Linked DNA regions of Struthio camelus. Each later gene encodes a partner of the first gene's protein in a complex. Links are inferred from orthologs where the notes say so. Each region holds a gene or a part of one and is shown in the gene's direction. Other genes may lie near its edges.

Region 1 (15,729 bases):
AACAACACAACATTTCCAAATAGAAATGAAACCTCTCCCCAGTTCTGGTCTCATATAACTGATAAATTTCACAATGATTTAGTTTATAAAATGCATGTATTGCATATGTTTAAAATGTAGTTAAGTTTTTGTCATGCTTTATTCAAATCCTGGGGGTTTATGTTTGCTTCTCTTAAAAGCCATTAATCAAAAATGGAAAACAAATATCACTAAATCCCAATTTCAAATATTTTCTGTTAAAAATTATGCAGAGTACATAATTAGCATTTCCTTAAAGCATTCATAATAATAGTGGCAGAAAATCTAACTCACTGGCTAGTCATTTGGAAAAAAAAAAATAGAAATGTATATTCATTTCATATCCATGCAACTCTAACTGTTAATTTTGTGATAGCTCTCTGACCCATTTATACATAGCCTTCTCCCAGTAACACCTACGGTAAAAAATAAGATTTTTTTTGATATGCATGTCTATCTTCTTTTTCTTACTTTTTTTTTTAGGCTGAGGCCCACTTTGAAGGCTAGTTAACCTAACCTGGACCTTAAAATGTCCAACTGTCACATACTGACATGTGGTTTGTTTTCATCATGAAAAAGCTGTGTTTAAAATCTGAGTAGCTGTGCTAAATTACGACTATATTCATCACATATGCAAATAATATTAGATCATTTTTAAAAGGTATTACTAACAAGAGAAATATGATCAAAATATGCTTCAGAGTCAGTTTATTCTTCTGAAAGCAATAAATATTCTAATTCAGTTATTTAACTAGTATTTATTTTTTCCCTCAGTTAACCTTTCATTACGATAACAAAAACTCTACTAAAATAGTTAAATGTCTACAGAAAGGGGTAAATGAATTTTGGGGGGTAAATATTTGTAACAAAGGAAAGAAAAATGTCTTTTTGAGCTAATGATTTGCTACTGGGTATGATACAGTAAAATTTGCAAAAATCAGCCAGTTAAAATTCAGTGTGAAGCTGATCATGTGAGCCCAACTTGCAAGTCACCTATGATAGAACATAGGATACATGCTGGTTTTAGATCAAATAGAATATTAAATGTGATATCACAAATGTAAGGCTATAACTCAGCAACCCTTTTCTAACTGGCTTATTTTTCCCCACAGAAGTAGTTACTATGGATATGGGAAAATTATATTACTTGAGTTGCTAAAATTATACCTGCGATTGGTTAAAGTTATATTTAAAGACAGTCATTAGGTTTCCTCTGTGCTTGTAAGTGCTGCTAAAGCTTTTCCACAGACGTCTAAGTTGGCAGAGTTCCCTCCAGGAAGGGGGAAGGTAATGCAGGCAGCAAGACCAGGGCACTGATCTGGGACTAAGATAATTCAGATGTCACTCTTAATTTTAACAGACCTCCTATATAATTTGGAAAAGCTACTCAGTTTATTCCCTCCTATATTTTACTTCTCTGAAAATGTGTTTCATAAAGACGTAATATTTATAGAGATGTAATACTTGGAAGACATAGATTATTACTGTAACAGACAAGTAGAGGTGGAGAGTCCAAAGTCATTGCTAGGTTGTATTCCAGCTGATTGCTCAGAAGGAACACTTCAAAGGTACTATGTCAAAATGTTTTTCCTTATATAAAAATGAGACACTTTTTATGCAAGCAATGCTTATACTAATAAAAAACCACACATTTCATAATTTCTGAATATGTTGCTGTGGGTATTATTTTATAACTGTGAGCAGCACAGTTCTGGAATTGCAGGAGGGCTCACTTTGCCCTGGAATAAACAGCTCTTGGGAAACGCTGTGTCAGAGCTGGAGCTTCAGCTCAGTAACTTCATGTTTTTGTAATGAGTGATAATCTTCTGGTATACATATACATGGTAAAAAAAAAAAAAAAAAAAAAAAAAAAACTTTGCAGTAGGACTGTCTTAGATTCTGCCTACTTCGGAAAAGTGGCAAGCCCTGCTTCTCCCAGTAAATATAGTGACTCATCCAGAGAAGCAAGACATACTAAATATTTTCTATTTATACCACCTGTTAGGGCCCTAAGGGCACTAATAGGCCTTAATGGCTCTACCCAGGTTTTGCCCGTGCTCTGCCCATGGTCCAGGAGCCTGTTTCAACTCAGCCCAGGCTGCCCTCCCCAGACCGAGCTACACAGTGGGAAGACTTGTCTGCAGCTCTCAAGCCCACCCAGCACCTCTGGGGCTCCCTATGATCAACTTGGACCTTGCCTCCCCCTATCCCCCACCAAGCCCACCCGGCTTCCAGGGCTTGTGGCTTGAACCTCCTCCCCCTCCCAACACACATACACCCCATGTCATCTCCAGGGCTCCTTGTACGCAGCATGAACTCCCCACACTGAGCCCCAAGTCTCCCACACTGTTTCCTTGCCCCAGTTATCTGTCCCTGCCCTTGCTCCCCATTCTCTGAAATAGCCCTATGACAACCCATAGTAATTTATTCCCTCTAAAGTCCCTTCTGAACCCAGACCTCTGTAAGGTGGGAGGACGCACCATTCTGGGAGGGAAGGCTGCTCACAGGGCTCTGAGGGTACTAATCAGCCTCAGTGGCCCTGACCAGCCTCACCTGGGAGCCCAATGCACATTCAAAGGCAGAGATGAGGGAACAGAATGAAGATACTATAGTGATATCATTTGTATTAGACTGAAACAGAAAAGTGGCACACAACGTTGATTTTTATGAGAGATCATTGGGAGGCTACCTGAGTAGATAACAATACCATTATTGTAGTGAATAAGTAGTCTATTAAAAAAAAGGGTTAATAAGATTTCTGTTATTGTTCTTCATCTCATTTTAATCCCTGGTCTAGTCAGGGAAAAATATGGCAACCAATTACTTTTCTGATAGACATCTACCCAAGGAAGCTTAAGGCTAGGGACTGGCAGTACTGAAAAGAGAGAGATGTCTACACAGCATGAGGCAGAGGGTGAGCAAAGACTGGAGTCACTAGGAACTCAACTAATGACAGAGTGATGTGAGTAAGAACTGGCATGTTCAGCTGTTGGCACCAAAGTGTCATGGAAGAAGTACACAAAGTGCTGTCAGGGACTATTTCACAGCTGTGAGTGACAATCCATAGCTAGGAGGGAGAACAAACCCATCAAGAGTGTCTACATGCTGGAAGAGCAATGCTTATTATTTAGTAGTTAAGAACCTGGAATATTTGCCTCAGTTAATGCAGGAATACCATGGATCATATACTGCAGTAACTCTGATCTGGGGTCAATTTCTTCAAGAAACATCTGTACATGGTGCAGCTCCCACAGCCCAGATGGTTTCCCCCTAGGGTTTGGCATAGGTCATGCATGCAAACCACAAGCATCATGGTAGAAAAGCTACTCAGATTCCACAGGACAGTCAGACTAGGTCAGGTTCAACGTACTTTCCTTTGCACTTGTGTCCAGGATCAGCACACAGTGTTCACCCTTCCATATATACACATATCACATGTTCCTCACACTAAGAGATACCTATGTCCCCTTCTTCTGCAGTGAAGCAGCCGTTGTCTCCATTTACAGCAAGCACTGAATTCATCCTGCAGTCCTTTTACAGATGAAGAAGTTGCTGTCATATGACTGAGGAGGGGGAATCAAAGCTGCCTCTGCTATTGAAGGTTTGGAGGGATGCAGTGATGGCTCCACCCAGGAAGGCTTACCTCATTTATACATAGCCAGAAGCAGCCACAGAAGCAGCTCCTTTTTATCCCCTCTCCCTGACTTGGGGCTATGAATGAGTGTGAAAAAATATTGAACTGTCTGGAAGCATTTGCTGATTAAACAGCTGTTGCTCCCTTCAACATCCCACAGGCAAACACTTGGGCCAGGCTGAAGATGCCGGGGAGACCATGGTCTAATATCCATCTATCAGAGATTACCTATAACATCCATAATTTTTCACATAAGTCTGTTTACCTTTTTGCAGAGTGGTTCATTTTGCAACTTTTGGGCAAAATTGTGATTTTAATTCCACCCACAGAAACTGTCTCAGGTGTTCACCAACACTTCCTTTAATTCCAGGAACATAGTGCTCATTTTATAAGCTATGGTTGTAGCCACATAGAAACTCACACGCTGTCAGTTTCACTTCAAAATAGTATAATCCATTATATTATTTGCAGATGACATTCCATATTTGAATTCCACTACCACATCTTTTAACTACCACTTTAAACACCACGAAGCTAATAGAAATAAAACTGTTAAGTTAGTTGTTTTTAAAGGATACATGCATTTTATCACTTATTTGGTTTCCAAATGGAAAAACAGTTTTGAAGTTTGCAATGTGTAAAATTAATTTTTAAGTGCACAGAGGGTAATTTTATCTTCTTTTGGTGAAGAAATAGGATAATTGGAATAATACTGAGATACGTTTTTGTAGTGAGGATAATACAGAAAAATGAAATTGATAATTTTCTTAGATGTGACTAATTATAGCCTGTGAATTGTCACTTGTCCTTTCTAATTTGTGATAATTGATTATAATAAATTAATTACTAAGATAGATAACAGATAATTTCCCTAAAACTGGTTAAAATCCTTCGTTACAATGTTATCGAAATTCTCTTATAGGTTAAAAATAATCATTCATCAGATGCCTGCCAATTATAGACTGGCATAAATAATAACAGTACTGAACATGATGTAGAGACGGCCTATAAAATTTGGGATTAAGGAAAGAGTTTAAGGCTATGAACTTCACAGCTTCTTTGAGGTTTTCTGCTATTTGGTTTCAACATATGTGGGTTTAAATTCTCCAAGCTTTGGGATTATTTGAAAAGCTCAGAATTTTAAAGAAATATTCATATGGAATTGCTAATATCCTGTTTACATGTACAAAGAGGGATTTTAATGAGTTGCAGTCAGAACAAAACCCATGTCTCTGTCTGGGCCTACATGAGTTTGAGTTTTAAACGGATTCACAGGAGCTCTTGAGAAACAAATCATGGCAGCAAGGAATATTATAGAATATAGCTGCAGTTTTCTGGCCACCCACAGAACATAAAGGCTATTTTGGTCTCCACCATTCCTCCAGTCAGATTTTAAGATTACAAGCCATGGTGACAAATGACACACTATTTTATATAAGTGTGCCAGATACTGGTACATCACTTTCCATATTTTCTTGGAGTTTAGTTTAATCTAGTTGCGGGGGAACAAGAAGGAATATGTTCATAGCCTTTTCTGGACTAAACTGGGTGAATTAATACTAGTCTATGAGTAGAATTTAAAAATAATATTAACTCATCAGAAACTGGAAATTTTCTCTAAATTTCTACTGCAATATAGGGAGTACCAGGAGCTTGATGCTCATAGATGGCCTTGTGACCTACTTATTATATAGCATGTTATACCCATTCTTGAGGGAATTACAACAGCCATATCTTTTTCCGGAAGTGGATATTGAAAATATATTAATTCTATTCTGATGGAAAAAGAAAATCTCATCAATGCTGTGAGTTTCACTTCAATTTGCCTTTTGATATTCTGCTTAATGAGATCTTCTTATAGGCTGGTAATATCTTTTTATTGAGTATTTATTTTCATGTGAATAAATAAAAACTGATACTTTCTAAGAAATTTTGGGGTCTATTTAAGATACTTTGTGACTAAAACCAAAGCTGCTTCTAAATGAACAGCACCCATGCCTCAGTTTCAGTTTCAGATTTTCATGCTCAAAATGGGGGAATACCTTGCCTTCATTTACAGACTGGAATGTATTTGATACAGCTGATGGCTTCAAACTGATAAAGAGCTAAGTTCTGTCAAGGAAAGAGCATATAATGGTGGCTAGCCATGGATGTTTTAGCAGACCTGCTAGGACTTGCTACATGAATGGATGCCCCCTAACTTGCACTGGTTTTGGATAAAGGTCTCTCTTTTTTTTTTCCTGATATAATGATGCGCCTGTAACTTCTTTTTCAGGCCCTTAGTTCTTTCTTGTTCACTTCCCAGCTCTTTCACAGTGAGGAGTTACATGCCACAGATATAGACACAAACGTCTGGCTGCCAGATGTCAGAATCACTGCCCACAATCAGAGTGAAATATCCTGTAACCAGAAAGATTGGGTTCTGCTTAGGAGAAAGAGGACAAATAGCTGCTCATAGATAGATAGTCAGTACTGTTCTACAAAGGATGTCACGACTTTCTTGTTGAGTGACATCCTTCCCTCCACCCCCACATCTTTTAGCCAATACAATTTGCTCTTCATCTTTATCTTTTATTTCCTCCATTTTAACTCTCTTACTCCTCTGTCACCTCATCCCTGATGGACACCTTGAATGGTGCCAGTTGGCTAAAGCTGCACAATCTGCAGCAGAAGCTACCACTAGTTTATGTCATACCATGTAATATTTTCTAGTAAACACTGCCAGTAACTACACAAAAACCCTTCTGGGTCTCCCAATCTGACTTTAAATGTTGACTCATGTTCTTGATTACTTTCTAAACCTGTATGAAATATGAATTTTGTGTATGTAAGAATCCTATGCTGTGTTTGTGCTGCCTGAAGCAAAAATGTAATACAATACTAATCTTCTAATATTATGTAAAACTGATAGTCACACATACTTCATACAATCATGTGAAATCTGCCTGATAATGTTTTTAAAAATTGCACACTTTTCATCTGCTTTGGTAGAGTTTATCTTCAGCATATTCTTAATGCTAATAAAACTTTTAACTGAGATATGCATGTTTTAACAAGCATGGGAAGAGCTTGAAAGCTCTTGCAGCAAAAATTGCGATAACTTTCTCTTGTGAAAATAAAACTGTCTTGCTTACATAAGCAAGAGTATCACTCTACTCTTCATCTTCACATAAAAGAAAGGTAACAGGTCTCTGTTAGAGATGACAGTTCTTCCTACAGCTAGGAGGAATATGGCATGTATTGATTAATCTATATCCAGGCTTGCGAGTTTTAAGGAAAGGTGATTTCAACAGCTGAGGCTGTCACCGTTGGAACTGCATCAGAGCTATCCCAACAAGTAGTATTTGCTCCAGCCAGGGTAGTTAAGAGATTGTGAAGGATCATTCATATCCACTTTATTTAAAAACTGTGCTCTGAGGCCTTTCTCAACAAAGCAAGAGCAAGGATGGCTGCACTTCTGCTTTACTTCTGTGTTTGACTCAGACGAGTTTTCAGTTCACTAAATTTCACTCATTATTTCAATTCTGAGAGATACATGTATTAGGACTTGGATGGTAATATATATAGTTGCAATCATTTATTTTTTCAGTCTTGTCAGGAGAACTACCTGTTCAAACCATTCAATCTGCGGTAGAACCGGAATAGGACAGATAGCTTGGTTAGCTTGTAGCTATCAAGAAGTCTGTTAACATCAATCATTATTAAGAAATAGGGAAAAACAAGAATCTGTATCTCTAGATGAGGACCCAAGTACAAATCTGTTCCATTAGCCATGAAATCCATCACTGCATATTCTTATGCATTTATCAGCTGCACTCTTCAGAGCAACTCTATTATCTTTACATTTAGCTTGTATGGAGCTGTCTTTTTAAAATCTTTTCCCCCTGAATAGCTCACTGCACATTACTGAAGTTAATATTTATAAAAGGAATTCATAAGGAACAAAAAGATTTTTGTTTGCCCCAGCTTGGCAGAAGAAGACTTTTTAACCATAAAATGTAGAAAAAATAACTTTTCACTCTAAGAAGCCTAAACAACTGTATGGAGGAAAAATGCTCGAAGAGGAGCTACACAGAAGCAAAGCTAAATCTGCTTTCACTGGACGTGTAATTTTGATCACCCTCCCTGAAAATCTCTGCTTGACTAAAGAATAACATTTCCAAGAGCTAAAACGGGGCCCAGAGGATACGGATAAGGCAATCTAGCGACAACAACCAGCCTGGCCCGCTCTGGGGGCCAAACTTAGACGCAGAAGAGGGTCCCTCGGCTGCACCCGACGCTGCCACTTTAAACCGTGGGATTTATTTTTTTTTTTTTTCCCTGCTTTCGTAGCTCCACATAGCGTCGGTGGGATGAAACGAGTCAGCTCCGCGCGGCCCCGTCCCGCCGAGCAGAGCGGAGCGGAGCCCCCGCGAGCCCCCAGGCGCGGCGCCCCGGGCTCCCCCGAGGCCACCGGGGGGGGGGGGGCAGGAGGAGCTTGCTGCTCCCCAAAACCGGCGTGAGGGAAGCAGGCGGTTAAGGGACGGCTGCGTCTGCGAGGGGCCCCGCGGCGCTCTCTTTCCTCCCGTTTTAATTTTCCTCCACCCCCACAGCCTTTGCAAAGGCGGGTCGGTGGCTGGCGGCCCCCACCCCGCGGGCCCGGCTCCCCCGCACTGGCAGCGCAGACGTATACGTGCGTATAATACACCACAGGGCGCGCATATATGCCTATATATATATGATCTGCCACGTTATGCTATATCATTTCAGCACTCTCCGACGGGTGGGGTGACTGCTGTACGGTCTCAGTGAGCTCCGGCTGCGGGGCTGCTTGCCAGCTGTTGGAGATAAGCAAGTGCGAAAGCGCAGGGCTGCGGGTGCGCAGGGGATTTAGGGATGCGGGGTGGAGCAGCCCCCTTTGCCACCTGCTGCTTGCCGGGGGTGCTGCGCCGGGGTGCGCCCGGCTCCCTCCCGAGAAGCCCCAGGTCCTGGCTCCCTGTGGAGGAAGGAGCCCAGGCATCAGCCCCCTCCCTCGTCCCTGCAGTCCTGGCACAGCAGCGCTGCAGAAACCCGCATCCTCTGGATCCAGAAAGGCTTTGGCCTCTCAGTGATACTCGATGTCCAACACAGACACCAAGTGGTTTATTCTTCCCTCCCTCCCTCTTTCGCCTGTCCCTCCTCCTTTTTTGTCCCCCCCCCCCCCCCGCCCCAAACCCAGCACGGACCCTGCTTGCTGCCATGTTTTAGCCACTTTAACTTCCAACTCCTCTGTTGAAACAAAATTAGATGACCCGTTGACCGTGGCTCCAGGACAAGGGGATGCCGAGGCAGCCCGGACACGGTGTGTGTGGGGGGGAAGCCGTGCTCTCCCACTTGCTCCCCCCTGCGCCGCCCCGCAAAACCAGCTTGCAGGGAGCTGCCAACCCCGCGGGGGGCTGCGGGCCCCCAGGTGCCGCTGGCAGCTCTCCGCCCGGCGGCGGCCGGGCAGGCTGCAGGGGCGGGACGCGGCCCCGCCGCCGCCTCCGACGCCCCCTTCCCAGCTGGGGAGCGCTGGGCGCCGCCCGCCCCCGCGCGCTGCGGAGCGGGGACGCGTTCTCGCTCGTTTCTCATGTCTTCATTTGGTGAAAAATTAAGCAGGGCATCGTTCCCTTAGCAGGTGGGAGAGCGACAAAACCCAAGCGACATAGCCCAAAATTAGAGGCTGGCAGATTAGGAGGGATTACTTGACCGAGGGAAGATGGTAGCATCTAAAAAGAAAACGACTCTGCCGCTTCAAGTGAGTCTGTCAAAATAAACCGCACACATAACTGCTTCTAAATAAGGGGGTTGATATGTTATATTTTCCGTCTGGCAAGCGATCAATATATACCCACTCGCACAGTGAGGAGAAACCGCATCCAGTGAAGTTCAGCAAGAAGAGGGGCATAATAAGGCGGAGGTCAAAAAACTTTTCTGCCTGGGCAAGGCAGAATTTCTCCTCACTGAGAACTCACAGGGGGGCAGAGGGATAAGCCGTGACCGGGGGGGGACTGCGTTTCGGCAGCGCGGGGGCCGGCGGAGGGAGCGGGGTGGGGGGAGGGAGGAGGACCGCACTTTCCCCGCGGTGCCCCGCGCAGCCGCCCCCTGTGCTGCCTCTACTTGCGGCGCGGCGCGGAGCGTAGCGGCCCGCTCTGCCGCCGGCAGGGCCGCGGCTCGCCGGCTTTGCTGGGGGCGGCCCCGGGGCGGTGTTTCGGAGCGCCGGGGGTGGGGTGGGGTTGGGGGGGGGTCCCGAGGGCGGGCATCGCCGCGCCGGGCTGCGGCCGCGCTGGCGGCGCCTCTTCGCCTCGCCGCGCCGCGCCTGGGCGCTCTCGGCCGCGGAGGGGCGGCGCTGCCTAGCCGCGCTCCCCCGCCCGGTGCCCCCGCGCCGTCTCCGCCAAGGGCGCGGGGAGCCCCCTCGCTGCCGCCGGCGCGGCGGCGGCCGGGTGAGATGCGGCGCTAGCGGCCGCGAGGCGACGCCGCGGGCATCCGAGCGCGACTGGCCGGGGGCTGCGGCGGAGACCATGGGCGGCCGGGTCGGGGGCGCGCCGGCCGGGCTCCCTGCGCGCTCCGGCTGAGCCCGGAGATGCCCCGGCCTTTTGGGAAATATTTTGGAAATCGCTCGGAGAGGTCCGAGGAGGGCGAGCGGCTCTGCGTTTCGCCAGCCGAGAGGAGGTCGCCCGGCGGGAGCACACAGGCAAGTGAGTGTCGTTTTTTGTTGTCCTTGCGCTGCATGAACGTCATCTCCAGTGACTTTTTTGCAGCTTTGGGTTTCTTACTCGCGGTTTTGGAGGCAGCGGCCCCAGCTGCAGTTTTGGCTCTCCGGCGTGTCGGTGCGGGAGGTTTGTGGTCGAGGTCGCAGCGGCGCCCGGTCCAACTCCGGCGAAGTACGACGAGGGCAGCCGTACGGTGCAGGACTTGGCGTGCACAAGCGGTAAAGCGCAGCGCTGTAGTAATCCTGTGCTGCCCACTTCTGCACCTGTAAGAAATGATGCATTATATGTGCTAATATAAAATGTCTTCTGCTTTGTGCTAGGCTATAACTTAATTGCAGGAGTCCCTTTATTGCTTTCCAGCAGTGGCTCTTGGAGGAGAGAGGCAGGGTATGTGTGTAAGCATATTTCATACCCATCTATGGGTTAAAATAGTGAACCTAGAGAGTTTTGATTTTTATGCCTTTACTTTCTTGTGTCCTGCCTGGTGATTTTCTTTTTCTCTGAGATGCTGTTGCTGTGAGGATGTGGTTTCTCCAGCTTTGTTTGTTTGCTTTAGCACATGGATTTTTATTGCTCTACTTGTTATTGCTGTGAAACAAAAAGTTGATTTCAGTATATCTCAGCACGTAGAGCAGACACGGGACTAATTCTGCTCTTGGAGGAACTCCGCTTTGAAGGAGCAGACCCATAGGGCTGTAATCTCTTGCTAAAAACTCAAAGATCTCTAAACAGGGTAGTCACGCTGAAAAGAATGAATTCTCCTGGTCACCTTTCAGCACGCATAGTGTATGAGCTAACCAACCTGCCTGCTCCTCTCTATGAAACATCTGTCTCTGAAAGGTAGGGGATAAAGAGGATTCATAAAGTGAATTCTGGACAGGTTTGGGAGAAGACAAAACTTCAGACTGTGTTTAATTAAGTTTTCTCTTATTGATTTCCTTGGTGTCTTCTCTATGAGTCTAAAAATGACAATCTTTTACAGTAACCTTGATGTACATCCTGGTCTAACATGAAAGCATCACAGAATAAAAGGAGTTACACAGATTTATAGCTGAGCTCTAGCATTTCACTAAGAACTCAGTTCCAGTGAACATCCTAGTTTCAGCAGAGACACTGGGCATTATGAGTGAGTGGACTTGCGGAAATAACTCTGTGATAGTGATAAAAGTATAAGGTGCAATGTTGGAAGCATATGCTCCTGCAGAAATATCAAGGTGTGTGAAATGTTTGTTGAGTTTTGGATATTTTCTTCTCTAATCGAAGAGAACTCTGGCAAAAAGTGTGTGTGGGGGGGGTAGTGGGGGGTGCTCAGAGCTTCCCAGGTTAATGCACTTTGATTTGCCTGCACTTGTTGGCTGGGAAGCTGTAAGGAAGGGATCTTCTTATGGACTGAAACACACACTTTACATGAATGCGGAGTTAACATAATAGGATTAAAAGGCATTGAGTTGGCAGTACTGAACGTGTAACTTGAACGAGTTACGCTTGAAGGTGCAACTAACTCAAGTTTATAGCAAAAAGTAAGCCTTTCCCATAATAGTGGATGAAGTTCACTGTGGGTAAGCAGTCTGAGAGGAATGTCACTTTGTTTCAGTGCAGTTTCAGGAGAGCTTTGTTGTGGTTCATATTCCTGACTGTGAAGATACTGTGAAAAGCAATTAAAATAACTGTTGCTAGACACTGGGGCACAAACCTGTCCATTATTTAAAGCATTCAGCTTCTTTTTGCGGCTTATCAAAAAAATCTGTATCTTTTATCAAAGTGTAGCTATGGACTTATTGTAGTAATTCCTTTCTCTGTTGCAGAGTGGCAGGCTTTCACTAAGTGTGTGCAAGAGAGATCATAAAACACTGACGCATGCACTGAGCTGGAATTCATTGGGGCTATACATTACATTGATGGTTTACAAAATTAACATAAGTAACTGCTTATACCTGATTATACAGATAAGTGGTTTTTGAAAATTATATCAGCTTTGCCGGTTCTGATGCAAGTTACAGAGCCCTTTTCTTCCTTTTCTTCTTAGTCCTTCAAACTAATCTAATGCTATACTCTGTCTTTGCCTGGAGAAGAAGAAAACATAATTTAATGATGCATCATTTGGCTTTTGCAGTATCTTGTCCCATAGCTATGAGATAATCCAATGAAGGTCCTTGTCACTGAATTAAAGAACATGCTGCTCTAGCCTTTCACCTATAGCCAGTTTTTCATTCTGCTTTATGGCCAAAGAACTGAGTTTTCACTGAGTCTGGTAGAAGAAAGAAACATTTCTTTTTCTGTTGAAAATTTGAAAAGAAAGGGGAAAGAAATACCTGAGTTCTTTAAGGAAAGAACTTGCTTACTGTAAGGCTATTCTAGTATTTTCTTTCATGTTCTGTATCCTAGTTTACTTGTATCTTTTGTATCGGAGATTGCCAAAATACACTATATTCAACTTTATGGCATGTATTTTTATTTTTATACTATGCAAATTAATAGAGAAGATGTTGATTTGATTTAGAAAGTCCAGGGCAAGCTTACAGATTGCATTCCTTTGCTAATTTTGTTATATCTGCTCAGGCATGCTGTTTGGCTTGCCAGATATAACCTTCATGAATTGACAAAATATGTCAAGCTGTCCAGTCAGTACAACAGAGTTGTCTGAGTCACTATTCATTCATCTTCAATCAAATATTAAAAAAGTAGTCTGTTCTTGACTCTTCTTCACTCTGAAGTGCTTGAATAAGTACCATTTCTTCATGCTCGTAATTTAGTACTGGTCTTTGTGGCTGAGCTACTGGGAAAACTGTGATACTGTCAAAGGCTAGTCATCACCACCTTTGCTTGCATACATTGTTTAAAAAGGTAAGAAGTGGTAGCAAGTAAGAAGTGTCAAATGGATTTAATGTATAGTCTTTCTTATCCCTTCTCATGGCTGTACTTTCAGTTCAGGTTACCAGAGAGAGGATTAGATAGGCTGAATCCCAGTTTGTCTGCTGCATCAACGCATACGTCTGACAGTCTGAGGTGACATCATCTCAGCATGGTTACACACCTGACTTTCTGTATTTGCCCTGAGTTTTACCTTCCGTAACTGGAAGAGTCAGAAAGCCTTACTGTCATTGTGGCCAGCCTAAATTTTCTGCCTTTCTATTCCAGGTCAGATGAAGGAGAGAAAGCACATGTATTGGGGGATGGGGGGGAGAGTATAGATCATATCTCAAAGATACAACTGGAACCAACAGGAGCAAATGTAATGGAGGCACTGTCAGTGAAATTTGCATGAATATTTAATTTTCAAAGGGAGGAATAATCCATCTAGAGGGAAGGATTTAGTGAGTGATGCGTCTACTCTTTATGAAGAAGAGGAGCTATGTAATACAGAAACAAAACTTTCTATGTTTTTATACTCTGCACTTCAGATGTACCTGTCACTCATTTGGCACTCTGAACTTTTGTCTTCAATAATTAGCTTGAGTTGGCAAAAAGTGGTGGAGCGCTCACTTGCATGATGAGAGTCTCGAAGTACAGGAGCCAGAGGCTGGGTTGTTTCTTGAGGACTTGATCCCATTGATTTATTAAAGTAATCGATAGAGAATGATAATAATAATTAAGAAAAAAATAAGTGTTTGGGATAAGTTTAGTTTCATGACATGTTCTCCAGTTAACATTTGGTAGCATTGGACAAGAAAGTTCTTTACTTTAATAATATCATGAGAGTAATAGTTGATACGAGTTACATAAGTGTAATTGTTCTAAAAGATGACGTTTTGCATATAAGACCAAAACGTGGTTAAATGATATTGTTGGATAAGGTTTGCTGCCCTTCTCAGGTATTCAGAATGACTTCAGTGGTAAAGGACCGGGTAGTTTGTGTAGGGCTGTGCTGTGGCCTTTCACTATAAAGCAGGAGGTCTCCCATGCCAGGAGCTGAACACCACACGTCCATTTTGTTGTGAGGGAAGAACTGACCCTACCCTGAACAGCACAAGCCCTGCAACAGAGCTAAATGCTGAAACTGGTGCTCAACACAGTTCGTTTCAATGACTACTGAAAGTCCTATGTGACATGTGGTGGAGGGAAAGGAGATGGATGATGGTTTAATGCTTTAATACTTATGTTGATACAGCATCTGCGAAAGAGCTCATGGTTTCAGAGTTGCCATGAGTGCAATTGATTGTTGGCTCAATTGATTATTCTGCAGATAGTTATAATCTTTATATAATATCTAGATTGTTGGAATTTTTTACTTCTTGTTAGATATGGGTATTCCTGACTCATTGGGTGAGATTTTGGTTCAAAGGTTTGGTTCACACCTTTAAAGCTGATGACATTAAGCGCTTCCAAAGTGTTCATTGCGTGGAACTTCTGAGATAATGTTAGCAAAGAAGCAACAATTTATTTGTAAGATTATTCTGAACTTTGGGTTTATTACAATTTTTTGTTCAGTCTCAACATCTTGTTTCAAATAGCAGGCAATTTACTAGCTTTTTTGTGGATGTTAGAAGTAAGTCTGTCTAAGTAAATTTTATGTCACTTTTTGTCAGATAATTTAAATAGACTTACATTTAACTGTGAACAAAGGCTGTGTGAATAAAACAAAACACATGCCTTTTTTTTTCCTCTGTCTAGTGTGTTAAATTTATTTAATATAATATATATGTATCCAGAAAGAAGTAAGAATGGGAGTGTTTTTAAGATATTACTGTAATTCCTCATCTTTCTCTCCAAAGCTGAAGGGAATTTGAGTTCTGTAGAGATGGCAGACTCTAGCCAGTGATCCTAATCCCATCTTCTGATTCTTTTCTTGGCATCTAAGGTTATTGTGCTATTTTTATTGAATTCAGTGGAAAATTCTGTGACTTCAACAGCTATAATGCTGTTGGAAGTCTCAGAAGTCTTCTCAAAGCTTGATATTCATTCATGATAAAATTATTATTTGACTAACTATAAAACATTGATTCTTAATCACAGAATTGTTGCTGAAATTCTCCTTATGAAATGCTTTGATGCTAATTCTAAATATATCTTTATTTAAAATTATGTGAAATAGCTTTTTCTGGTTGCTCCACATAGTAAAATGTTTTGATTGACTATTTTAACAGTTGAGAATAATGAACTGTACATTTCAGCTTTTGCAACACAAATGGACATTGATTTTCTTTGGCTTGCTTTTGACCCCTAAAGAAGTAAAGCAATTAGAATTATGCTTGCAGGAGAACTCTCTTCCTTCTTTCCTATCATTTTATGTAAATTCTAAGCAGCTTTTTGAGAACCGATCTACGTTAATCAGATTTTGTTCAAGTGAAAAAAGAGGGGAAAATCATCAGCTCTACAGTTGTCTGGAAGCTGCAGATTTCCTCACACGCAGCTGTCTGCCTGTATCCA
Region 2 (15,832 bases), on another chromosome or scaffold:
ATAATGTCAGCTTGTACATTTTGCTGCATTAGAGACAATCCACTTGTAGTGAAGGTTCTTGTGAACCTTGCTCCGTTAGGCTACAGGCATGGTTTTACTAGAGCCTGGGAGGAGGTTGTCTTCATTGACACTGCCACATGCAGCATGGGCATCCTGGATCTTCTGATGTGGTTATTGGGCTCTGAAGTGCTTCCCATCATGCAGACTGAGATCACTTCTGATGCTGAATTAGTTTCCAGAGACAATATGGATGCCCAGTATCTTCTACATCTGACATGAAACTGTGCAAAGCACTTGGAAATGGACAGTGGAGAGCACCCTGTCTCCCTTGGAAGGAGGGGAAATCAACCAAATGGCCTCATGCGACTTCTCTCTTTCTGGTGTGTTTGTGATTCTATGGCAAAGCTACATCCTCGTTAGTAACACTTCCTGTTTCAATATGCAGGCAATGAACAGACATGAGGAGACATGAACGTTTACAGAATCTCTGTGGTTTTCAGAATCCATCATTGTGCAGAATTATATTTCTCCATCATCGTTACAATGGACCTCTGTGAACGTTTAAGTGACCTGAACGGTGACATGAAAACTCATCTTTCCTGGAATTGCCACGTTGGCCAGCTGTAGAGTAGTCAGCAAGAGCAACTCCCAGTTACAGGAAGTATCCTACTCACTCAGCCAGTAAGAGCAGTTTTAAGCCATGTCACCAGGTGGAAGTCATTCATTTCCAACCTCACATAGTAGGTTTAGCCCAGACAGTTCCTTGTATTCCAGAGGAGAACGTGGGTAGTGAACCACCCAGAGAAAAGGGATGGTGTCTTCAGTTGCTGTTAGTCAGAAGGGGAAAGCTGAGAGTGTTTAATTGGCATAGAGTAAGATACAGGGAGGATATCAGTTCAGTGATGTCCCTCATTACCAGAAGGATGTTGAAAAGTGAATTTCAGGGCTGGAAATGGGTAGAGGGTTCTCAAGAGACCGATTTGCAAGGACAAGTGGCAACAGTTAACTGCATCTTAGCTAAGGAACAGGAATCTAAGCACTGACAGAGAGGACATGACTTGCATAATAAAAGGGATGTAATGAGAAAAATGGCTTGAAACTGAAACAGGGAAAATGCATCCTGAAAAGATGATCTATCTATGGATAATATATGATGTGCGTCTGCCCAAAGAACTCCCGTTGGAAACCCTGGAAGATTCAAACTTCAGCACATGCAAGCAAATGTATCCAGTGCCATCAAGACTGCAGCAACATGGGACCTGCAGGTTTCAGCTCTCTTATTTTTGGGAAACCAAAGTATCAGATGATTAATTTTGACTGGTAGATGTTCACCTTGAATTCTGCTTCACTTTTTTCTCAGAAAGGTAATGATAATAAGTGGAAGGGATCTGCAAAGACTTTAATTTATTGTAGTTAGCGAGTGTCCCATGTGCTGCTGTGGTTGATGCAGAATTTAGCTCACAGTGTAGGACCTGACGGTGGGTGAATTTGGGTTGGCCTCAGATTTTTTTTTTCCAGATCTAATCAGCTTTTTGTGGGGGGAAGGGAAAAGAAATGTTCCACATGTTTAGATGGAGGACACAGGTGATGTTTTTTCCTTTTAGAAAAGGAGGCTTGATACTCTTAAAATCAAAGACTAAACTATAAATTCAAGCTGAAATTATTCTGATATTAAAGTGCCTCCCTGGATTTGGTGATTACCCTCAAAAGGCTGCTTGAGTCAAACAGGAGCAGAACAGACTTGGGCAAAAAAATTTAGCATATAGGTGGGGCACGCTTTGTACATGGTGTATTCCTTGAGGCATTTTCATATTGCTTAATTCCTCTGCACTGCTAAGTGTTACCAGAAACTACACACCACAACTGAAGATTTACTCAGGGTACAAACTCAGGCTGAAATAGTTGGAGAACAACCCTGACCTAGTTGGATCTATGAGTCTCAGAACAGAGAAGCAGAGTTTGTGCTTTGAAAGATCTGAAAGAAGTGTTACGTGTTGATTCATGTAGGAGGTATGGTGCCCTTCTGGGTGACCCTGAAGTCAGAGCCAATGGCAATAAAAAGTGCCTATCTCATGGTCTTAATACTGGCTTTATTTCTTCCTAAAATAGAAGCCTCGGAAGGTCGCATATACATGTGAGCATCGCTGGCTGACTGCACACAGCCTGTGACCTACAGCACCAGCAGACAGCACATACAGGACAGACACAAGGAAAAGTGCCCAACACAGCACTGTTCGATGGAGTGACAACTGGCAAAGGTCTTTGTAGGTCTGCCCTGTTGCTTTGCACCTTGGGAGTGGCAGGGGGCACTACCAGTAGCACAGATACAAGAAAGGAGACAGGGAGAGTGACAGAATCATTCTTCCCATCACTTATTATTATCTGGTGTTCATGTAGTCTCCTGTAATTTTGCAAAGAGAGGGGTTAACTATGACCTGAAGGCAATTGCTGGTACCACTAACACAAAGTGGATTTTTACTACACTGATTTCAACCAATTCATGACTGAGCCACTCCCCGTGCAGGGAAGTGGCCACAGGTGTTGACACTCAGTGCAGGAATTGGAGTGATTCAAGTGGACTAGCGCACTAGCAGGTGGAGAAGGAATATAAAAAGGGAGAAAGGGTTTCTGTCCTTTTTCTTTGACAATGGGGGAATGGCTGGAAGCTAGGACATAGGATCAGGCTTTCATCTCTCTACTTTTTTCCTCTTGTTGTGGGTATTAGAGTAGCCTCTGTGAGTTCTAGCCATGGATCAGGGCACTACTATGCTAGGTTCTGTGAAAATACAAAATAGAAATGTCCTTCTTCCCAAAGCTAGCAGCTTAGCTGTGAAAGAAGACAGGAGCAGATTAAAGACAGGCTGAGGAGTGTCATGGGCAGTATTACTCATTGGGATAGGCAAGGAGTCTCAGGGCATCAGAACTGCACCTAGAGGAATCTACTTGAATTGGGTCCAGAAGATTTAGCTTTTGTGTTCAGCAAAATAATTAGGGTGTCTGGCTGCTGGGTAGTTTTGACAGTCCCAACAGCGGTACTATTCCTTCAGTGTTCCAGGCTCAGCTTTTTTACTTCTCCTGACGGAAAAATAGACAACAAATAAGCTGCATGCATGGTGACATAGTTGCAGAGAAGATCCTCGTGATGGAGGGAGGCTGCAGTAACGCTTCTCTGTCCTCTGGTGAATGACTACTATTCTATGCCAGGAATCCCTAGGGAATAAAAATTCCAGGTATGAATGTTAAGCAAATGTGTGTAATAATGTTACTGAAGAGGCTGACTTGTCCCTGCAGTCTGGACTGTACCAACTGTCAGGTGATAGCCCAGTATTTTCCTGGAATGATTTTCCCCCAGGCTGTCTCCTGTTAGATGACAGCCTAATACATATCTCTATTGCTCAGCTGTATGCAATCTCTTATCTCAGAGTGTACCTAATGCTTAAATGTTTGCAAGTGCCATTCAGTTGTCTGGATGGGAGTGCAAAGCTCTCCATACAGGTGTAGCAGTTCACAGATATAATCCTATAATGAGTTTAACTTTAAGAGTGGAGGAATTGGGGGAGCATTATATTGAAGATAATGTTACTGAAGCTGGGTACTTAATGCACAGTCAGGAGTATTTAATTCTGCTAGCTGAAGTATCTGCATCTGAAAATGTGCTTTTAAGTAGTTACTTGGTGTATTGCACTGTGTACATGTCAAAGTGTTATCACTGTAAAAACAAATTCAGGACAGAGTTCAGCTGTTCCTCAAAGTCCCTTATCTTGCACACTTCAGAGTGAAAATATTTAAACAGAAAGTGAGAATTTCAACAACAACATCTGGAAAACAAATAAGGAATGATTTGGTGAAAAGTGAGGTACAATTACTAAAAATCAAATCACTTATAGAACTGACTAAAAAGTGCTTGTATCTCTAAAAGGGTAGTTACTAAGGGGAATTTTTCTCTAGGACAGCACTTGTTATGAAGTACTGTGAAAATAGAAAAGCAACCTTGAAACAGGAGTGTACATCTCTTTAAGTTCAGATAGAGTTCTGAATGATTAGACTTTCATTTTTCGCAGTAGGAGAAATTAGGAGAGAGATAGTAACACTGATCTATTAACCAATAGTTATTTCACTATTTTTCCCTTATGCAGTTTATGTAAAATGCCCTGTGAAGGAAAGTGTTAAGAATCAAGGTCAATTTGTTGATTTAAGATGGATAGACAAGCATCTCTCTTTTCTGCTGCTATGTTTTCTGATGGCATAAAAAAAGACTTATTGCAAGGGCTGCTTGTATCATAGTTAACTGAAGAGAAATCAATAATGTGAATCCTCTCAATGCTGAGGACTGAACCTATACAAAGAAAATCCAACTGCTAAAATCAGGAGTTCACTATTAGAAAGCAAGCCCACAAGATCAGGAAAGCTCTGCCTTGCTGCATTCCCTGTGGAATGGCTTCTGCGTTTACTCTCTTGAAGCACGCTGTCAACAGCAAAGCACCCTCTCTATACTCTAGTGAGGGTAGCACAGCAGCACGCTGTTGTGACCTTCCTTTCCTCTCCCACCTTCTTCCCTCCTTGTATCTGGTTTCAAGTTGGCTGGAAAGCCTATGGGAAAATGATAATATCTGATGTTTCTTATCATACCCTACTGAACAACATCTTCATGTGGTTCTTCAACATAAACTATGCCACCAGCATTAAATGCATACGCATTCTTTTAAAACTATAGTCTGTATGTGATCTCTTGTGGATCCTCCCCAAAACAGAACAACAATTCTGACTTCTTCTCTGCAGAAATGAAGAGAATTTAAATGCACTTTTTCCACAGTGAAAAATCATGAAAGACTCTTTTTGAATCAAATATTAAGCTCAGGGGAGCTGGCTGATACGGGTGTTTGGCAGGCACAATGTTTTAATACTTAAACTTTGGATTATTTTTAAGGAGTTTGGGGAATGGAATGCTGGCAATAAGTAATTTACAATTATTCTTGCTGTTACCCATTAATGTTAAAAATGCTTTTTAGACAATGGCTTTTCCTCTTAGTGAGTCCCTGTTGGGGTAGCAAAAGTCAGAGAATTGGATGTAATCTGAATAACTTCCTAATGCGAATTTGACTCTGATCATGTCACGTAACAGCAGAACAGAAAATGCAGCTCTGACTCCCTGATGTCAGATGGCAGATCTCCAAATGCTCATTCCCTCCCATCTGGGGCTTCCTTCATCTTGTTCGTTTTAGTTTCTAGCAAGTCTAGCGCTTGTTAGAAAAACAAAATAATGCATGCCAAATAGGCTGCAAATGTGCTGCTTACTGGTACTGTGCAGATTATCCAAAACTAATGTTTTCAAGTAATTTTTTGATAGGAAATCTGTGCCTAGTTATTAGTGTTCCTGACCTTTATGTCATCTCTGTTAGTAACTGGTAAAAGCAGCATAACGTTATTGTTTGAGGCCCTTTTGATATTGAAGCAGCTGGTAACTGTTGTAAAACTCTGTAAAATGGTCTACACAGCCATGATACAGCCTCTTGCAAAACTCTCCTTGGCTTCTGAAAAATGCTAGCCTTGTCAGAAATCTCAGGGTGGAACAGGTCTGGGAACATAAAGGTTAAGCGGGTTAATGATTAAAACCATAAGAAAATGTTTGCCCAGATGTGACTTACTGTAGTTCTGCCTCTCATTTCCTGCCTCTTAGGTCTACCCTTAAAAATAACTCAGTTCAAGCTCACAACACCTAAGTATAACATGTGCCATTCTTGTCTGCTTTCAGGAAGATTAGCTAGAAACAGTCTAGGCTCACATTTCCTAAATCTGACAATTGCACAGAAAAGGTCACGCTTAGCTATAGTGAGTCAAGGCTGTCCTCATAATGGAATGAGAAGCTTTTAACACCGATCAGACAGGATGAAGTGTGATTCCCAAGCACATGAACTGTTACAGCTCTTGTAATCCTCTACACCTTTTCCTAGGCAGGTTTGATGCAGGGGTCCAACTCTCTGTAGCTTGTCCTAGTTTTTCTTTTTGGATAAATGCCACTACATAATAAATAGGCCATGCTGCTAGGTCCTATATTGTGCTAAGTCACGCAGATCTGGGTCCTTTCGGATCTAGCTGCTTTCTGAGTCCAAGGTGCTTGCTGCCAAATTCATTTCCTCTCTCTTTACCGGAGGAATTTCTTAACTAGTCTTTACTGTGGTTTAAATGCGAGCTAAACCTAGAGTCCTTAAACGCACCTTCACCCAGTTTTAATCTAACTTTGCCTGTTTTCACATGTGGCTCTCCTGCCTCAGAATGACCTCAATTAAACAGTCTTCTCTTGCTGTTTGTGTGGACAGCTAAGTCAGTTCTCTCCCAGGCAAGCTTAAATGCCAGTATTCAGACCTTATTCCAGTGAGTAGACCAGCAGCTGGGAGACTATCAAAGCAGCTGACTCAATATTGTAGTGTATATTAGTTTAAGCACAGTCATTGGACAAGGTGTGAACCACCTTCCTGGTGCAGGGTTTGGAGTATATCATCACAAATTTGCCTCAGGCAAAGCTGGATGTGTGCTCAGCACATCCAACCAAAGGTCTTGCAGTGCAAAATCAAGCTGGCCTAAGCATGGCCCGTTTCACCACACTGGTTATGAGAAGCTAATTCACTTCCAGAGACAGGGTAGTGCTCCCTGGTATTTCACGTCGTAGATTTGACCTTGATTTGAGGCAAATATAATGCTCAGCAGCCCTCTTCTTTAAAGAGATCTACTTGATGAACAAGAGGGGTTTGCCTACAGTTTGTGGATGTATTTTAAAGCCATATTCTTCAGATTTCAAAAGTCTGATTCTAGGTCTTAACATCCTAAGGTATTTTGTTTTTCTTTCTAAATTTTCTATCTACCTTCCACCAACCTCCCCCCAAATTTGACACTTTCTTCCCTTGTTTATAGCCTGAGGAAGCTTTCTGTTTGGCTAATGTGCATAAATCCCCTTAAACCCGCTTCTATTATGTCTGTAAAGGAGAGAATAATAGCTATAAGAACATCTCTTGGGCATTGCTACAAAGATGTGCAAGTTTTAAACATGCTATTTCTGGTGATAAAGGAAAAGCTCTATCCAGCATGTCCCATAAAGAAGTCTGTATTGGCAGTTGCTCAAGAGCTCAAAATGAGCAAAGCTGAAAAATGTTAATTCCTGTAGATAGCACAGCAAGAAATAACACTGGTACTGTGTACGTGAAACATGCCTGTTTGTATCCTTGCAGATCCTAAAGGTACACATTCATCAAAAACTAGTTAGGGAAAGATCTAAAGACATCTGCATCACAGACATTATCACTGTGAAAATACAAGATTTTCTAAGCCCATTTCTCCTTTCTCAAAGTAACAGTGAATATTTTTGCTTTCTGGAACACTTATCATGATCTTTTTCTCATTTTCACCTTGTGCTTTCTGAAAGGTACCATAACATACAATAAACTAAGCATGACATAAAGGGATGTCATTTGCAACCCAAATGCATGTGCATAACCATTTTCTTTTGAAAACAGTATGTAAACTGCAGAGGGCTGTGATTGCTTTAGATACTATACTGCTGCCAGTAAGTCAGCCTTAAGCGACTCAGCTTTAGTAACACTTCGGTGCTACTAAATAATTATTACGTGTATATGTGTCATCCCACTTTGGCAGTTACGAAGTAAAGTTTGTTGTCTAGCAAGTTTCTCTCAGCTCCCTAATTTACGAAGTAACAAATCCTGTAAGGCTGCAGTACTCCAGCACTGCACTTCTCTGTGCTTTCTATCAGCTGAGAAACCTGGTCGACTGAAGGAGGGTGGTTTTGCATTTTTCAGATAGTTTGGAGCCTGATTATAGTTTTACTCATTTGGTATATTAGTGTTTTTGGATGTTGTCGCAGTGTCAGCAGGATCCTACAATTCTGAGGTGCCTTTTCTACACCTGAATGCAAGTTTCATGAGCATGGTAAGTTGTGTGAGAGCTGCTGTGAGTGTTTGGTTTAGGTGTGACGCTCTTATGGAGAATGAAATCTTTAAAAGACAAAGACTAAACCTATCTTTCAACTGGAGAAGGCTTTTCTGTTGTGCTTCTTGCTGTTTTTCTAGTTTATTAATCTTTCTTCTGAGCCATGTCGCATTGACTCCTTGGGCATTCAGAAGTGAAAAAAGATATAGCTAATTTCATGTATATTTTTCACCTTGATGCGCACGATAGCATTTCCTAATTTCTGTGCAAAGAGGATCCAACATATACTGTCATACAAACTAAACTTAAATAATATTTTCACCTCCTATTGAAAGTCTCAGTTACTGTAGTGAGTGTCAAAAATAAAATACCTGGCTGAGTGGAACAATCTTTATTTCAGCTCATTAAAATGTCTTCTTTTTGTCTAAAATAGGCATAGGCAGGTGAATAATTTTAAAGCATTTTCCTCAGGGAAGAAAGGTTGCTCTTCACAGAGGGTTTTTTTTTAATTTCTCTTAAAAAAAAAAAAATCCTAGGAAAGAACAAATTTCTCACCAAGAAGAAAAACACATTTAGATAGTACCTAATCTCTCCTACAGCCTCTCAAAAGTTCGAAAATCTTACAGAAAGATGAAACTCTCTTTCTATCAAGAGTAACTTTCTCCTGATTGGATTCATACCATATCATAAATAATACACAAAAGCCAAAATGGAATTTTATCATCTTTCCCCAGGGGAAAGATGATATTTTTTCTATGAGCTAGTACGAATTAGCTTGTAGGTGCTGGAAAGGGTGGTCTGTGCTGTGGATGTTTGGAGGATCCTGTGAATGAAACAGCTGTTATTAGTCACTTCCACTCCTCTGCCCTGAAGGAAGTAGAGTTTGTCCCATGATAGCACAGCTGAGCGTTTCTTGTCATTTGTATGATTCTGTCTTTAGCTACTGTGTTTATACTATCATTGATCTACAGAGATACAAATATGTATGATTTTTCCTTGGTCTCAGATAAGCACGAGGAGAGTCTGTGGTAGTGCATAGAGTATCATTTGCTGTAAGAGTGGCAGAGTCCCATTCACCGTTGCAGATATATGGCCTTTTCTCATCCCCACCACGCTGGAAGTGAGATACTAAGTCCTCAGTGTACTCACCATCCCCTCCAAATTAATTTTTAATACTATAAATCAACATAGTATTTTTTGTCTCACTGCTCCCTTCAAATAAACCACTTCTCTGGTGGCCTGAAAGTAACAATTAACTAGAAAATGAAAGTAAAAAATAGTTGCACCAAAAGAAGGCACTCCATATCAGGTTATGTAAGCTGCACTACATATAATTGGGCATTCTCTGGACTGTTGCGCTTTTTTACTCTGTAAATCATAGATTAGAGAAAACGATAGTGCAGGGGGAGATCTCTGATGATGATGAAAGTAGTAGGTCATTAAACTAACAAGACAGAGGGAGGGAAGAAGCTGATAAGCAAAAAAAAAAAAAAAAAAAAAAGCTCCTTTAACTTCCATGAGATTTGCATGGATAAAGCCAGAACACGAAGTGATCTCTGTAGGCCATACTGTGAAAAGCCCTACCTTGGTTTTCATCGGAGCCTGCAATTAATCGTGATTACGAATGAGAAACAGATGCTACCTCTGCACAGTAACAAGGTACTTCTTCCACAGTGCCTGCAGTTATTTACCTGTGCAGACTTGAGATCTCATTTAAAATTGTCTCTGTGGCTGCACTACACAGTCCAGTCTCCCAAGTGCCTTTGAAAGCTGTAGTCCGTGTATACAAAAATGAAACTTTGTTCTTTTTCTTCCCCAAATTGTTTCCTTAAATCACTGATGGTTCAATTGTCTTTCATTACACAGTACAACCTCAGTGCTCTGACATTACATCTCCTGAACCACTTTGCCTACTCTTAAGCTATTGCTAACATCTCTTCTGTGAAAACTGGCTGCAGAAGGGGCTTAACCTTGCTCTCCCACAGCTGGCCCATACAGAAGCATGCTATTGTATCTGAGCAGCTCTGGCATCGCTCACAAATGAGCGGCTCTTCCCTGTCCTTTGTGTGCTTTATAGACGTCAACCTCAGTTTTTATTTTCTCCAGCTCTTCCTACTGCTCTCTCTGACTTCTCCAGCTCTCACACACCTGCTGGCCGTGCCCATCTCAGCTCAGCAACTCCTTTTGCACAACCCCCTGTTTGACCTGCTCTTCTACCTCTTGGTCTATTTCCAGCTATTCTCTTTCTCTAAAGTCACTTCTTTTGTGAAGTTATTTAATGCCAGTCTCCATCTTATTCTAGTCCCCTTATATTTGATTTACGTCAAGTACCTCATTTAGTACGTCAAGAACCATGCCTTTAATGCGCTTATAAACTGCACTGTACTCTTAAGGCATTCTGCAAGAAGTAAATAGCAGAATTATTTGTGAACTAAACAAGACAACAGTAATTTGTTTTAGCTATGTTTTAATAACCAATACAATGTGTTTGCAGATCTACAGTACTGCATTTTTCAAAGGCATGGACAGAACTCTATTTCCTACCTCAAATTATGTAACATCTAAGTTCTGTTCTTCTATACGCCTACCACAGTGTGTCCTTTGTTTGCAAGTGTGTAAAGTAACATCAGATTTGTCCTTTATGATTTATTTCTGTGAGTTTTGTGGTATGAATTCTCAGGAAATGCATCCAAATTATGCATGTTTCTGATTTGCATTAGCGTGGTTTCACATTTGTCACGTAAAAATGTCTACCAGTGGTAGAAAATACTGTAACGTTTTATTTTTGATATGTACAAACCCCTTCAAGGTAAAGGGTACTCTCAAGTATTTCAGCTCTCTTCTCTATTCCTGTTAGTTACAAGAAATTACAATTGCATTTACAGGTGTTTGGGCCTTGCAAACTCTCAGTCCTCTATCCTTAGGACTGAAGATCTTCCTGTATTCAAACAATTGTCATACACGCACTAATGGATTTTCATTCCAGTATCAATGTATTCCATGTATTCATCGCCTCTCTAACACCAGCGATCATGTCTGTTCACACACACTCCACAGTCTGCTTTCTGCATCTTGTTATTCCCATCATGAAGAAATTCTAGTTGACAGTACTGTGACAGGAGTATAAAATTTCTTTGCACATATGTCACATTAAGGAAAGTGGAGACAGGAGGGGAAAAATCATTTTGTTCAAACCTGCAGGCAGTGATTGTTATTGTATGTCCTTGGTTATGGAAGGCACTTCCCTGATTTGCTTGGGAAGGGATTCATGACTTTGTAAAACTTGCTATTTCTACATGCAATGGATTTTTAAAGGATCCTAAATTTACTCTCTTGCTTTTAAGTTATCCTCAGTGATTTAAAATGATGCCCTTAAGTATTATATTGAGAAATAGAAAGATAAGTATTCATTATTACTTACAGATTTCATGCTGTGAGTGTTCATAAGCAGATAAATGCACTAAGGTCCTTTTGTGTCACATGGTGGTGATTGTTCACACTTAGTAGAGTCATGATTTTTCTTTTTTCCTGAAGAAATGTTAAGAAGTGTTGCTAGGACACACAAGTCCTTGGTGTGATCCGTGTGATAAGATTGTTTTTAGCTGAGCTCTGCCTGGGGTTAGTATTCAGACTCTGCCTATTGCTTCTTTTATTCTAATACATTGAAAAACTTCAGGGCTTTTTCTCTGCTCGCTACGCTTCATGTCTGAAACCTTCCTTCACACATTGTACCTGTTGCAGCAGACTGGAATTTACCAGTTTCCTAAAATTGTCTTGGATAGGTAAGAACAGACTCCTTAGATTAACTGCAGAGGTGCACAAACGTTGGAGCTACTTACAAAAGTCATTCTGCTCGTTTTGTTTCTCTAAATAACATATGCTGTCATTGTGATTGACAGGCTCCCTTCAGTTTAACTTAGGTGCATACTTGAAGTTATGATTCTCCTGGATTGATGGTATCTTTCTTTATCCCACTTTCATTAGAATGTAATTTAATCAGTCATGAATATAACCTTCCAACCTTGACACATAAAACAGTGTGTATGTGCTTAGTAACTGAAAATGAAAAGCTTTGAAAAAAATGTCAAGATTTGTGCGCTTACATGTGAAGAGAGTGGAAAGAGGCGATTTGGTCACCATGCTTTCTTCAAATGACCAGGGAGTTAAATAACTGTAGATCTATCTACTGCAGAAACATGATTAAAGATAACAAAGAAATTATTCCACTAATGGGCAAGAAAGCAAATCCGTCTGGTGTTCCCCCTTCAAACCAGCAAGAGAAAAAGACGACTGAAAGCACTCCCACAAAGAAAAGGTAGGACTCCAGCTTATTCTAGAACAGTAAAACTACCTCTTTTATCTCCTTTAGTAGATGTTAGCACTGAAATATTACTAACAACTTTATTCCTCCAGTGTGTATGAATGACATGGGCCTGATGAACACAAGGTGTCCTAAAAAATAGTGCACTTATGCAGTTAATAAGCGGAAGATTATCCTGGTAGTTTGGTAGATGTGTAATGTTTTCACCTTAATGGGACAAAGACGTAATTCCTATGCCAGGGACGTTATACTCACGCACCAATCTTAATCTTGTGTCTCATGTCGGCTGGGCTTTCTGCATCTACTCTTTGTGTCTGTATAAGCCTACAAGAACATGATCTAACAATGGTCAGTGTTTCAGTAGGAGAAAGTGGAGAGATCTTTTTAAAGAGATCACACGGCAGGATACTCTGGCTTTTAAATAAGAGAGAGGCTGACATGGAAAAAGGGATCATTTCAAACTTAGCCTCACATGGGAACGTGACAGATAATGAGGACACAGAGGTGAAATTAAAAGATGAGGGCTGGCAGAGCAGGCGGTTTGAGGAATCCTATCACAGACAGAAACCTGAATTCACTCTATTTTTCATGATTCTGATCAATGAGTTTTCTCAACTATTTTATTTTATAGAATAAAATATTCATTTTCATGTATAATTTATGCTGGAGAATCAAGATGTGGATTAAAGGTTTGTATTTAATGTGAATAGGGAAATGTAAGTAGTCGTTCATCCCTGATAGTTACTGTAGAGTGAGCATGAATTTTCATTCATAAACTTTTCACTCTGTGCCTAATTACTAGCTATTATAGCAATTTTTGGAACTTTCAAGGTCCAGGGAACTGTGGCTGCGCTGACATTTATAATTCTTAATAATCGGAGGAATCACTTTCTACAGAAATGGTATAATTAGTTATTTGAGACCTACTGCCTGGGTAGCCTAATTTCTCCTTCTGTCATTAAGTTCAAAAGAAGTTCTTCATTTGAATCATGACACGAGTTGTAAAAGGGTGAGACAAGGTATCTGAAGAGCTCACAATACACCTGGTACTTCAGAAACAGGCAATTCCCTGGAAGATTGTCTAGTTACAGCAAATATTGACAAATACTGCCCTTGAGTTACTTAAGCTCCTATATCACGTTCGGTTTTGTGGCATCAATAACAGTAACCTCGGGGGTTTTCCCGTCTCACAACTGGGAGTTCAGGGTGTGGCAGACAACGTTCCTGTAACATAAGGAATGAAGATCATGTGAATTTTAATACAGAGGTTTAACATATTCTGTTAATTATGTGTTCCTATGCTGCTGTACTTCTTTTGCTTCAAAATGTTTTTTTCTGGTGTGCTGTACCACTAAGCAGTTAGTACGCTTCCATGGGTGGCATTTCTCACTTGTCAGATGTGTTGGCGATATGTACTTTATGAAGACAATGACTTCTCCCTTCTTGAAGCCCCTTTGGTATTTGGGTGAACTAACAGTATATAATTAAGTACAGGAAAACCAACAGGCAGGCTGGGAGGAGCGTTGACAACGTTGTCAGAGCCTGACTGTGTGTGTGGGTAATGTTCCTGACAGTGAGCACCACGGCCACGTAAGCACTTGGGTATTTTCTGGCAGTTGTCGACTTGCTTTGCATGGCTTTTTTTCTTTTCTACACCTGTAGTATCCCCAAATAACCTACGTGCTGGGATAGGTTAGGTATGTCAGCCTCCAAAATAGGGCCCACTTCATAGCTGCTATAAATCCATTGGATGCCAAATTCTTCAGCATGAAGGCACTTTTGGGAGAGCAAGAGCTGCTCTCGGGGACATCAGCCGGTGGCACATGCTTCCCTTCCAATGCTGAGCCAAAGGCAGGGGAGACGGTCCGCAAAGCCTCAAGTGTGGTGCTTCTCCAGGCTTGTTGGAGGTTCACTAAGGCCACCAAAAGCTGTTTGCCTGTTGAGGCAGATCCTGCACATCATAGTTAGGGAATGCAAAAAAGCAGGATGAACCCATGTTTTTTCCACTCCTTCTTAGTCTCTGCCAAATTCAGATCCCAATGAAGCAATAGTGATTTGCAGCAGCTGTGAATCTGACAAGTGTGGTGTAAGTAATGGCAATGGTCCGCTTTCTGTCTAGGTCTTTCCTATACTGTTAAGGATGCCCCGCTGCCTAAGTAATTGCAGGGACACAGTCCTGCTCACCAGAAGTGGCATTTTGTTTGCTGCATGCTTAGAATGCATTCACAGGCACATCTCAGATGTTAAAAGGTCATGTAAGTTTAAATGTCTACACACAGCGAATTGACACTTGGAGCACCAAGACACTGGAAAATGAGAGGGATGTTAGATCATGCTATTTTTAGTGGATATCAACAGGTTGTATGTAATAACATACTGCATTTTAACATCAATGTGTGTATTTTAATTCAGTTGCATTCTTTGTGGGAGGTGGGGGTGGGGGGGCAGGAAGAACTATCTCACTGTCTAAGCCACCAATATTAGGTGAATTTGAAATATTTTCCAGGTGATTACTAGAACATTTTAGAAAGATAACACAGATTCTAAACTATAGGCCGTGTGGGAATCACTGCATTCATCAGTGAAACTCCCCTGTCTTAGATGAAATGTAACAATGGCTTAATGAGACCTAGTAATCTCAAGCTATTGACTTTCCCTCCAACCCCACAGGCTTTTAAAGGGATAAATCTTCCTATTTTTCTCATGGTCCTTTTCCCTGTGTTGGTTCACATTTCTTTTCTTTTCCCTACGAATAGCTTAGATAGCTATAGTTAAATGTCATTGCACATTCAGTCCTGGGGGTGGAAAAGTCTTATGTCATTTAACATGTGACCTCTCCAGCTTTCTAATTTAATGTTTATCACTGCTGATAGGCTTGGAACAATCCATCTTGCTGGTTTCTGGCTGGACATATAGGGGATAGAATGCAGTAGATTAAAAAGCATGTGCATATGTATGTCCGTACACACACATGTATGGCTCTTCAATAAATGACTGGTGTTGCATTTAGCTGTTTGCACAGAGGTTGGATGCAAGATTGTTTTTAGACTGCTGGGGTGGCTGCTTAGACCTGTCAGGATCTGATACCGTGTCTCCTAAAATATCTCAAGATCTTTTGCCCATCTGTCAGCACAAAAGTGTTGGGCGTGATATTTGAGGCTGGGATACCCCCGGGGAAAAGTAGATAAGCCTCTATGCCAGCATCTTATTAGATACGATGCCAGAAAATATAAATTGTCAAGCTTGTCCAAGGCATGTATGGGTACTGCTTTGTTTATTTTATGGTGGTTTGCCTCTTTACTAACAACTTTTTAATGCAATGTATTCAACAGTTCACACTTTTTTCTGGAGATTGATGGCTTTGAAAGCAATGCAACTCCAAGTAATACATCTCCCCCTGTGTTTTCAAAACCTATGGATTCAAACATTCGTCCGTGGTAAGTTATAGGTGCATATGGAACAGCCATTGCAAATATAGCTACTTTCTTTTCAGCAGTTACTCCTCACTTCTCCCTATACTTCAGAGCTAAAATTTCAGGTGGCTTTTCATAGCTTTTGGTTACATCAGAGACA

What was found.
Region 2: the proteins of SNTG1 (region 1) and TRPV3 are in contact, whole or in part, in a crystal structure (PDB 7QQN), measured with the Homo sapiens proteins. The link is inferred for Struthio camelus from reciprocal best matches to the Homo sapiens genes SNTG1 and TRPV3. Residues at the interface, in NP_001274742.1 of Homo sapiens: Arg62, Gly66, Gly67, Phe68, Gly69, Leu70, Ser71, Ile72, Lys73, Gly74, His78, Ser85, Lys86, His118, Glu119, Val122, Arg126; in NP_659505.1 of Homo sapiens: Pro786, Glu787, Thr788, Ser789, Val790.

What each region holds. Positions count from the first base shown.
Region 1 is NC_090943.1:139,605,292-139,621,020, reverse strand, and holds the start of SNTG1 (gamma-1-syntrophin), read left to right. Parts: upstream 1-9,281; 5' UTR 9,282-9,407; intron 9,408-10,113; exon of another isoform or gene 10,114-10,347; intron 10,348-10,395; exon of another isoform or gene 10,396-10,627; intron 10,628-15,729. UniProt on the Homo sapiens protein: Adapter protein that binds to and probably organizes the subcellular localization of a variety of proteins. May link various receptors to the actin cytoskeleton and the dystrophin glycoprotein complex.
Region 2 is NC_090957.1:17,837,666-17,853,497, forward strand, and holds the start of TRPV3 (transient receptor potential cation channel subfamily V member 3), read left to right. Parts: upstream 1-7,788; 5' UTR 7,789-7,938; intron 7,939-12,115; 5' UTR 12,116-12,134; coding exon 12,135-12,253; intron 12,254-15,591; coding exon 15,592-15,696; intron 15,697-15,832. UniProt on the Homo sapiens protein: Non-selective calcium permeant cation channel. It is activated by innocuous (warm) temperatures and shows an increased response at noxious temperatures greater than 39 degrees Celsius. Activation exhibits an outward rectification.